2 linked regions of the Cricetulus griseus genome follow. The protein of the gene in region 1 interacts with the protein of each later gene in a pairwise test. Links are inferred from orthologs where the notes say so. Each region holds a gene or a part of one and is shown on either strand. Other genes may lie near its edges.

What was found. The genes of interacting proteins can lie anywhere in the genome.
Region 2: the proteins of Dmc1 (region 1) and Kctd17 interact in binary tests that used the Homo sapiens proteins (3 or more experiments, as listed by UniProt). The two-hybrid records come from large-scale screens. The link is inferred for Cricetulus griseus from reciprocal best matches to the Homo sapiens genes DMC1 and KCTD17.

Annotation. Positions count from the first base shown.
Region 1 is NC_048595.1:376,764,121-376,768,422, forward strand, and holds part of Dmc1 (meiotic recombination protein DMC1/LIM15 homolog), read right to left. Parts: intron 3,755-4,302; coding exon 3,638-3,754; intron 558-3,637; coding exon 513-557; intron 1-512. UniProt on the Homo sapiens protein: Participates in meiotic recombination, specifically in homologous strand assimilation, which is required for the resolution of meiotic double-strand breaks.
Region 2 is NC_048595.1:375,531,001-375,536,003, reverse strand, and holds the start of Kctd17 (BTB/POZ domain-containing protein KCTD17), read right to left. Parts: upstream 3,033-5,003; 5' UTR 3,018-3,032; coding exon 2,808-3,017; intron 1,735-2,807; coding exon 1,626-1,734; intron 1-1,625. UniProt on the Homo sapiens protein: Substrate-adapter for CUL3-RING ubiquitin ligase complexes which mediates the ubiquitination and subsequent proteasomal degradation of TCHP, a protein involved in ciliogenesis down-regulation.

The sequences.
Region 1 (4,302 bases):
CAACTTGTTGGGCTCTCCTTGGGCTTGTTGCCATCCAGGGCCACATTTCTGTTAGTAAGTTCCCCTTATTTATATTCTGTACAACTTTAGATTTGACTGCTTCTTTGTTTCAATCTCTGGCCCGTGGGGGGTCAGTTCTCATATACTGAGATTAAATTGTTCTGTAACACCAAGAATGCTGCTAAACAACTTAAGACAGACAGCTCCTCTTCACAATAAGGAATTATACTGGGACCGGGTGGTGGTTGCACACGCCTTTAGTCCCAGCACTCGGGAGGCAGAGGCAGGTGGATCTCTGTGAGTCCGAGACCAGCCTGGTCACAAGAGCTAGTTCCAGGACAGCCTCCAAAGCCACAGAGAAACCCTGTCTCAAAACAAAAAAAACAAAAAAAAAAAAAACAAAAAAAAAACAAAAAACAAACAAACATCAAAAAATAATTATATTGGGCTGGTAAGGACAAAGCTGAGAAAATGGAACAGACTGTTTAATATTGTACCGAAAAATTACTCACAATTCCATGTTTCTGTAACAGGTCAATGTCTTGAAAAAAAGATTCCTAAATGAAATAGAAAGAATGTATCTTATATCTTCATATCTAAATAAATGTTTCACATTTTGGGGAGTGACTAATACTCATTCACTAGTCATTCCATAATACTTCAGGTCCATTTCTCTAAACACTGAAGTAGGATCAATCACTTTTTTCAAACAAGTTGTTACATATTTAGAAAACAAACCAATATGGGTGCTGAGAATTAAACCCTGTTCCTCTGGAAGAGGAACTAACTGCTGAGCCATCTTTCCAGCCCCCATCTGACCTATTTTATTTAATACAAATCTTGATATCCTTTTCAGAACCAGTGTGCACAGGAAGCAGTAAGTTGTTATTAATCTGCTTTCATTTGGGGCTGGAGATATAACCAGTGGAAGAGCATTTACCTATCAGAAAGAAGTATTGGGTTGGATCTCTTCTATTGCAAAACAAACAACAAAAACTTTCATACTAGTTGCTAAGTGGCTAAACTTAGCACCCTTTGCCAAAGAAATTGTTACACATTTATATGTATGTCTTATTTCTACTTTCAGTTCCTAAACAAGAAATTTGATTTTCATGGAAAACTGAACATCATCATAACTTCCAACATTCTTATTATACCTCCTCATCTTGGAATCCTGATTCTTCCTGCACAATTTGATCCTCTTTCATGTTGAAAGGAAAATGGCAGAAAAATAATCAATTCTGGAAAATAAGAAATATTATTTAAAGTCAGGTGGTAGTGGTGGCACACGCTTTTAATCCCAGCACTCGGGAGGCAGAGGCAGGCGTATCTCTGTGAGTTCGAGGCCAGCCTGGTCTACAGAGTGAGTGCCAGGACAGCCTCCAAAGCTACAGAGAAACCCTGTCTCGAAAAACAAAACAAACAAACAAACAAACAAGTAGTTTTCCTAATTTTCTTTTTATTGCTGTGATAAAACATTGACCAAAAGTAACTTGGGGAAGAAAGGGTTTACACACCCTAGTCACAGTTCATCACTGAGGGAAGCCAAAGGAGGAACTCAAGGCAGTGACCTGGAGGCAAGATCTGAAGCACAGGTTGTGGAAAAATACTGCTTACAGACTTGTTCTCCATAGCTTGCTTGCTTTTTTCCCCTTCCTTCCTCCCTTCCCCCCCCCTTTTTTTTTCTGTTGTCATTGTTTTGAGACAGGGTTTCTCTGTGTAGCACTGGATGTCCTGGAACTCGTCTGTAGACCTGGCTGGCCTTGAACTCAGAGATCTGCCTACAGAGAGAGTTACAGGACAAACTCCAAAGCTACAGAAGGAAATCCCATCTCAAACACCCCTCAAAAACAAACAATCAAAAAAAAAAAAAAAAACCCTTGTATCATTCTTCCTTGTATCTTTCAAGTAAAAGGATTTTCATCAGGTGTTAGTGAGGTCCGCTTTTAATTCCAGCACTTGGGAGGCAGAGGCAGGTGATGTCTGTGAGTTCAAGGCCAGCCTGGTCTATAGTGAGAGTTCCAGGACAACCTCCAAAGCAATACAGAGAAACCCTGTCTCGAAAAATAAAAAAAAAAAAACAAAAAACAAAAAACAAAAAAAACAAAACAAACGGGGTGGGGGGTGGGGGGACTTTCTTTTTCTCATACCTGATAAATACCTTCTTGATTTCTGGTTGTGAATTGCTACACAGGTAAATGTATGTATCTTTTGCTTCACAAAACTATATATTCCATAGTATTTACTAGTTTCATAATTTTGTAAAAATATGGTAATACCTGTCTAAATTAGGGTTTTTATTTCTGCTATGAAACACCACGACCAAAAATCAAGTTGGGAAGGAACTTGTAGTCCATCATTGAAGGAAGTCAGGACAGGAACTCAAACAGGCTATGAAGTTGGAGGCAGGAGCTGATGCAGAGGCCATGGAGGGATGCTGCTTACAGACTTGCTCATCATGGCTTGCTCAGACTGTTTTATAGAATCTAGCACCCACCAGTCCAGGGATAGCACCACCCACAGTCGGCTGGGCCCTCAATCATCAATGAGATTGAGAAAATGAGAAAATGCCCTACAGCTGGATCTTGCAGGAACATTTTCTCAATTGAGGTTCTCTCCCTTCAGATGACTCTAGCTGGTATCAAATTGACATAAAACTAGCTGGAACAATATCCAGTGACAATTTCGTTTTGTTTTTTTTTTTTAAACCAGGGAAGCAACAGACACGATGGTGTACATTGCAATAAAATGAATAATCTTGTTCTTGCTTTATTGTTTCCTCGTTTAATATCAAAGTCAGGTGTTGAAGCCCTGGAGCCTCTGCCTCCTGAGATAGATTTTTTTTATGTATGTGTACGTGTTTTACATAGGCCATCCAAGCTGGCTTGGAACTTTTGACTCTCCTCTCCCATCCATCTCCCCAGTTCTGGGACTACAGGCACCACCATGCCCGCTCTCCACAATATGAGCGGTTAGCCCAAATTCCACAGACTATCCTTCCTGAAAAAAACAAATCAGCAAATTCCTCTCTCTCCTTTAGCTACAGGGTCTGCTAGACCCACTGGTTGGGAATTCAGTTCTGCCTTCCTCTGCCGGGATCACCGATGTGCCCACCCCGACCCTGGGATCTGAAGTAGGGCACTTAGCCTAGGTTTCGGGGGACTGTCGGGGAGCAGCAGGGAGGAGGGTTTCAGGGGACTGGGGGGGGGAGTGGCACGGGAAGGGGCGTCAGGAGACTGGGGGGAGTGGCAAGGGAAAGGTTTCAGGGGACAGGCGGGGTGTGGCAGGGGAAAGCGAAGGGGTCAGAAGCCCGTGGCCTCTCAGCAGGCGGTTCAGTCAGGCCCCTGAGGCTTACATTTTCCAGGCCCTAGTTCCCTGGTAACCCCGAGGAGGCCTTCAAGACTCAGGTCGGACTGATTTACAGCAGGCAGGGAATGCCTCAGGGCCGGAGTGAAAGGTGACAGTCACCTGGCCAAGTCCAATAATAACCAAAAATTACCACAGAAAGGGCAAGGAGAGGACGCGCTTTCTCAACGCTTAAGAGATTTCCTCAGATTTTCCCGTGCTTCTTCTTTTCGCCACTCACCCCCCACTCGAACCCACGGTCTCCCCGGGATTTTCAAGGTGAATCCCTTACGATTCCCACTCGGGCTTTCCGGTCCAGTCCGGGCCGAGGTTCTATTTCGGAGCCCGAACACCGAGGCCGACAACCCAGTCGTCGAATCTCTATGTATTTGGCGCCAAACGAGGATGTCTAGAGCACGCCCCCAATATGGGCGGGGCGAGGGATGTGGGCGGGGCAAATGTAGCACAACGTGAAGGGCGGGGCGAGAGCTCTAGTGAATGCTGCGGGGTGGGACGGGATGGGGCCTCCAGGCCTCTGAGATGGGGGGAGGACAGTAGTGGAACACGTCTCTGAGGAGAGAGTTTGGGCTTGAGACCAGAACCCGGGAGTCCCTTGGGCAAAGGGAGATGCTGAGTCAAGGAGAGAGGAGCTGAGATGACGACCTTGAACGGTTAGCAGGGCGAATGGGGGGGGGGTCTCTTGACCGCCAGAGGCTGCTTTCACTCCAAGCTCTCCATACCTGGCTGCAAACCTCAGACTTCCCCTCTCCTCTCCTGACTCAGCATTTGCTGCCCTCTCATCTGGGATGAACTAAAGAGTAATTTAGTTCCCGTTTAAATAGAAACCCGGGGCCATCTATGATGCCAGCCGGGCCATCTCTCCAGACTGCCTTTTCCCCCTTAAATGGAAACTGACTGTTGAGAATCATAAAACACTTGAAAGACCATCTGCTGAGG
Region 2 (5,003 bases), about 1.2 Mb from region 1:
GGGCTGCTGGACTCTCTGGAGACAGGGACCATCACAGACTGAACCTTTGAAACCTCACTGCCATGTGATGGAGGGACTCTGACCAGTGGGAGGTGAAGAGTCATAAAGATGGAAACCCAAGGAAGTATGACTTCTGAAAGAAGAGGCTGATGGCCAGTGAATCCCTCTGTCTTCATGCAGCACACAAGTGGACAGTTAGCAGCAGGGAAAAGGGTCAGGTCAGAAGCCCCTAGGCTAACACGCTGACCCTGAATCCCAGCCTGCAGAGTGGGTGGGGTCAGTTGCTGTTGTCATAGTCCCCTGGCCTCTAGTACTTCTTTACAGAGTTGAAACTGTGTCGGGGGTCATTCTGATCTCTATTGTGCTCAAGTAATACATGCTGGAAGGGAGAGTCAGCAAGGACAACTGCCTGAGTGACAGAAATCTCCCAGGCCCTGGCTGGGAGCCATCCAACCCAAAGCTGTGTACCCCAGGCTAGGCTGCTTCCTACTGTGGGGGAACTTCCTTCCACATTCCCACTGCTTGGTATGGTAGGTGCAACGGTCACTAACTTCATAGACACAGAGAGGTTAACTAACATTTCCACTGTCACATGGTAAGCTTCCTCCTGAAATCCATCTCTCAGATATTTCCCCACCCCGCCTGAAGAGATGAGAGCATCAGAGCTCTAAAGAGCTGGAACCTGTAAACAGGTGTTGGCTGTGATTCGGCTGGAGTATGAGCCTCCCAGAGGGACCTGCTCCTGAGCCCAGGCCCTACCCACGTGATCTCTTCCCCTTAGACTGCTTGGCAGCTAGCTGTAGACCAGGCAGAGTGAGCTACCTACAGTGAGCTCTGAGTGAAATGATCACCCTGTCCTTTGGGGGCTCTTCAGATCACTGTACCCCATTGGGGTCAGCCAGAGAAGATGACTGACTAGAGCAAGGACTGTGAGAAATGCCACAGATTCAGGGAACTCATCTGCAGTTCCAACACACACTCTTCCGAATGTGGGTCATGATGCCCATTTTGCAGGCGCCAGTGTAGACCCAGAGAAGACTATATGTCCAAGCTGGCCTGGCCTGATCCAGAGCTACACTCAAGTGTACAGAGGAGAGCTGGTTTGAGGATGACTGTAGTCCCCTGGCCCTGGCCTATTCTTCACACTGCTTCCATGTCAGCTGGGCCTGGATATGAGCCTCCACAGACCTGGGAAGGCAGCAGCCCTACCAGGAACATCACCCCACAGCCAGCTTTGGGAACTCCACGAACTGGCTGATGACAAGCCCCTGCTTGGGAGGCACAGAATAAGGCAAAGAAGGACCCAGTTCTTCTCCCATCCAGCCTGGAGCATCCCAGGCCCCATCAGGCCTTCTTGAAGGCCAGGAGAAAGGTCATTCCCAAAGGCAGAAGCCTCAGGGCCTCTTGACCCTCTTCCTGTTTTCACATCACTTCCCCAACAGCACTCATGACAGCCTGGGTCTGTCAGCTTGGCAGAGACCTGGAGAATGGGACCCCATTCCAGGACAGGCAGAAAATAATGGGGAAAAGTAGATGCCACCTTGGCTACAAGAATGATTTTAGGAACTCCGGATGGCTCTGGCCCGCTCCAGAGAGCCCCAGACCAGCCCAATGAACCAACTCACCCTCCTCAGCCATGTCCTTGTCCAGCACCAGTTTGCCATGCCTGAGGAAGTTCAATATGGGCCCGAAGTAAGTGGGGTCACGGTCAATGAGGTAGGCCCCGGTCTCATCCTGTGGAGATTAGCACAGGAAGTGAGAGGCATGCAAACTTCCACAAGTCCAGCCCCACACATAAGCTCAACTGATCACAAGCTGGAGAAGGACTGCAGAAAGAGAGATGAGATAGAACAACAAGGTGCTGGGCTCCAGCCCTGCCTCTGCCTTTTCCAGCTGTGTGACCTTGAGCCATCATCTGGCCTCTTGAGCATGTCTTCTCTCCCGAATCACCAGAGGACTATGTGTGAGCATAGGGTGTGACCATATTTCTGAGCGACCCCTAGCTCAACACAGGATTCAATGAATTCCCCTCCTGGGAAAGTTTCCCTCTTGGAGGCTGCTCCCCTGAGCTAACCCCACTATCCACCAGATGTTTGCAAGTTTCCAAAGGAGCTGCTCTCCGATTGGACACTTGCAGCCTGCAGGGAGGCATAGCCGGCATCAATACGACCCCATCAAGAAGCAGGGGACTCGCTCAAGGACATAGTGTGAGAGGTTCACAGAATGGGGGCCAAGGAACTTTGGCAAGTCAACTCCAGAGGTCTTGCACATGAGGACAGAGTCAGATCAGGGAAATCCATCCCACTCCCCACTCCTCCCAGGTCATTCGGGAGTTGGCAGGAGAGCAGGGTGAGCTCACAAGTGGTATCTGCTAGGCCAGGGCTCTTCCTTACATTAAACCCACCTCCAAGACACCCAGGCCTTCTCCACCCAGTTCCCTGCACCCCTCAGCTGCCCACACCCCAAGGGCAGGGAGAAGCAGCCTGCATCAACTCCTAACGCTGGAGTCTGCCAGGACAGCACGGCTGGCCGGGCTTGTAAGTCCCTCAGCACCGCCCCACAGCAAGGGAGCGTCCCGGATCCAGGGCAGCGCTCCAAGGCTCCAAATGGCCGCGGCCTGCGCTGTCCCGTTGCCACGGCAATGGGTACAGCGATCCCTCTCAGCTTCGCTTCCTACCCCTCCTCCTGCCCGGGCTTCCCGCCTCGGGATCCTACGAATGCTACACCGACCAGGTCGGAGGCCGAGAGACGCACAGGCTGGACAGCCTCAGAACGCGGAACCGGGACACCACCATCGGCGGGCTCACCCGGTCCGACTGCAGCTCTTCGCCTTGGCACAGGCGGCTGAGGAAGGACTTCTGCTCCCGACACAGCGTCTGGCGGGTGGTCAGGAACACCGTGCCCCCCACGTTCAGCCGCACCCACTTGCCCCAGCCGCCCCCGGCGCGGCCGCCCGCCCCCGCCGGTGGCGCTGCCTCCCCGGCCTCCATCCTCATCGCCAGCTGCGGTGTCTGCATCCTCCCCTCCGCTTGCTGCGGGGCGGGTACCAGGCGCGGGGTATGCCGGGAGCTGTAGTATGGAGCTAGGATTGGGATGCTCTGCGCTTGTCCTGGTGCTGCTGGGACAGCAGGTCCCGCCCCACATTACCTTTCTTGGCGGCCTGACACCTGGTCTCTCCCTTTGACCAGCCTGCTTGATTTGCAGAAGGCCAGAGCCCTGGGAAAACAGCGATCCCCGATCCGCTATTCTCCTCATTTGTTCTGTGTGCGGGGGGGGGGGGGGCCCAGCTGAGGAATGACTGACCTGAGAAAACTTTCTTCCTCCAGAGATTCCTATATATACCTGCTTTCTAATAGGTGCACGCACATGTGTGTGTGTGAGTGTGTGTGTGTGTGTGTGTGTGTGTGTGTGTGTGTGTGTGTGTGTGTGTGTGTGTGTGTGTGTTTTGCTGGGGATGGAGCCCACGGTCTCTGGTATGCTAAACCACACCAGCAATATTTCTTTCTGCCCCATGTGTCACCTCTACCTCCTAGATTCTTTGAGAACATCTAGTTGAATTTAGGGTTGTCTGAACATTTCTGTGTGAATATATAATATACATTACTTATTTAGGCTCCTGGTAGCTCTGTCAGGTTGGTACTGCCAAGATAGTGGCACAAATGGGGCTACAGAAGTAAAGAGACAGTAGTACATTTCCATACAAAAGTCTGTTTCCTCTGTTCTTTCCAGGGTTGTCAAGGATTAGGTCAGGGCTCCCACATTAAGCCCAGACCTCCTCCACCAAGCTCCCTGCACCTTTCAGCTGCCCACACCCCAAGGGCAAACAGAAGCAGACACATAACTCCTTTCCCAGCTGGATTCAGCCTGGACAGCAGGGCTTAGGAGGAATGAGAAGGGAAAAGGCAGCCTGGTTTGTGGGGATTGTGAGGCTGATCACAATGGTCACTGGTCTGCAGGGATGGAGAGAAGAGAGGGGTGGATCAAGTGGGATCAAGAACAGACATAAGTCTTCAGGGACAAGAGCCAGAGTGCTCTGGATGCCAGTCTTGGGCTAATCTGGAGGAAACAGAGTTTGCCTAAGGAGTGGATATCCAGAAGATGAAGTTCAGATATTGGCTTCCCTGATGCCATCTGCTTCCATAAATATGATAGGACTGAAGCTTGGAGGCAAGGCACATGGTAACCTGCCCATGTCTGTATGCAAGATGGGAGAAGGGAAATTGTGAATACTCCACCCCCAGATGCCTTGCCCAGTCCTTGAGGAGTATGGGCTGTGCAACAGGCCTGTGGGGCACCAAAGCTCTCTGCAAAGGAGGAATGGCCTTGGGGTGATGTTTTGGGATGGTCCCTCTGGCATTGGTGTTCCAGAGAATTATTCGGATAGGAAGGCGAAAATGGGGGGAAGCTGTTGTAGGGATGTGGTCTCTGCTTCCCCGCCCCCCCAACTGCTCAGCGGGATCCCAAGGACAGGTGTCCTTTTCAGGACAGCACAGCAGGTACCAAAAGTACCAAACACTGGACATGACTCAGGGAATGGCCTAGTTTCACTTTCTGTTGCTGTGATACAGCATCCTGCCAAAAGCCGACTCAGGAGGAAAATGGTTTATTTGGCTCACAATTCCAGGTCATAGCCCTTTGTTGTAGGCAAGTCAAGTAGGCAGGACTTGATCCAGCTCGTCAACTCCTCAGTCAAGGGCAGAGAGAAAATGAATGCATGGATGCTCAGCTCACTTTTTCTACTCTTACACAGTCCAGGACCAAACCCATGGAATGGTACCATCCAGAGAAGGCCGGGTCTTCCCACATCAGTGTATGTAATCAAGACAATCTCCTACAGACATGCCTACCAGCCAACCTGATTTAGACACATCTTCATTAATTGTCTTCATGGATTCTAGATAGTGTCATGTTGACAACTAAAACACACCACCATCCCTGGGGAGGTGAGTGAAGCAAACCCTTTTTGTAAGGATGGGGATCCGGTCTTCCTCCTCCAGCCAGGG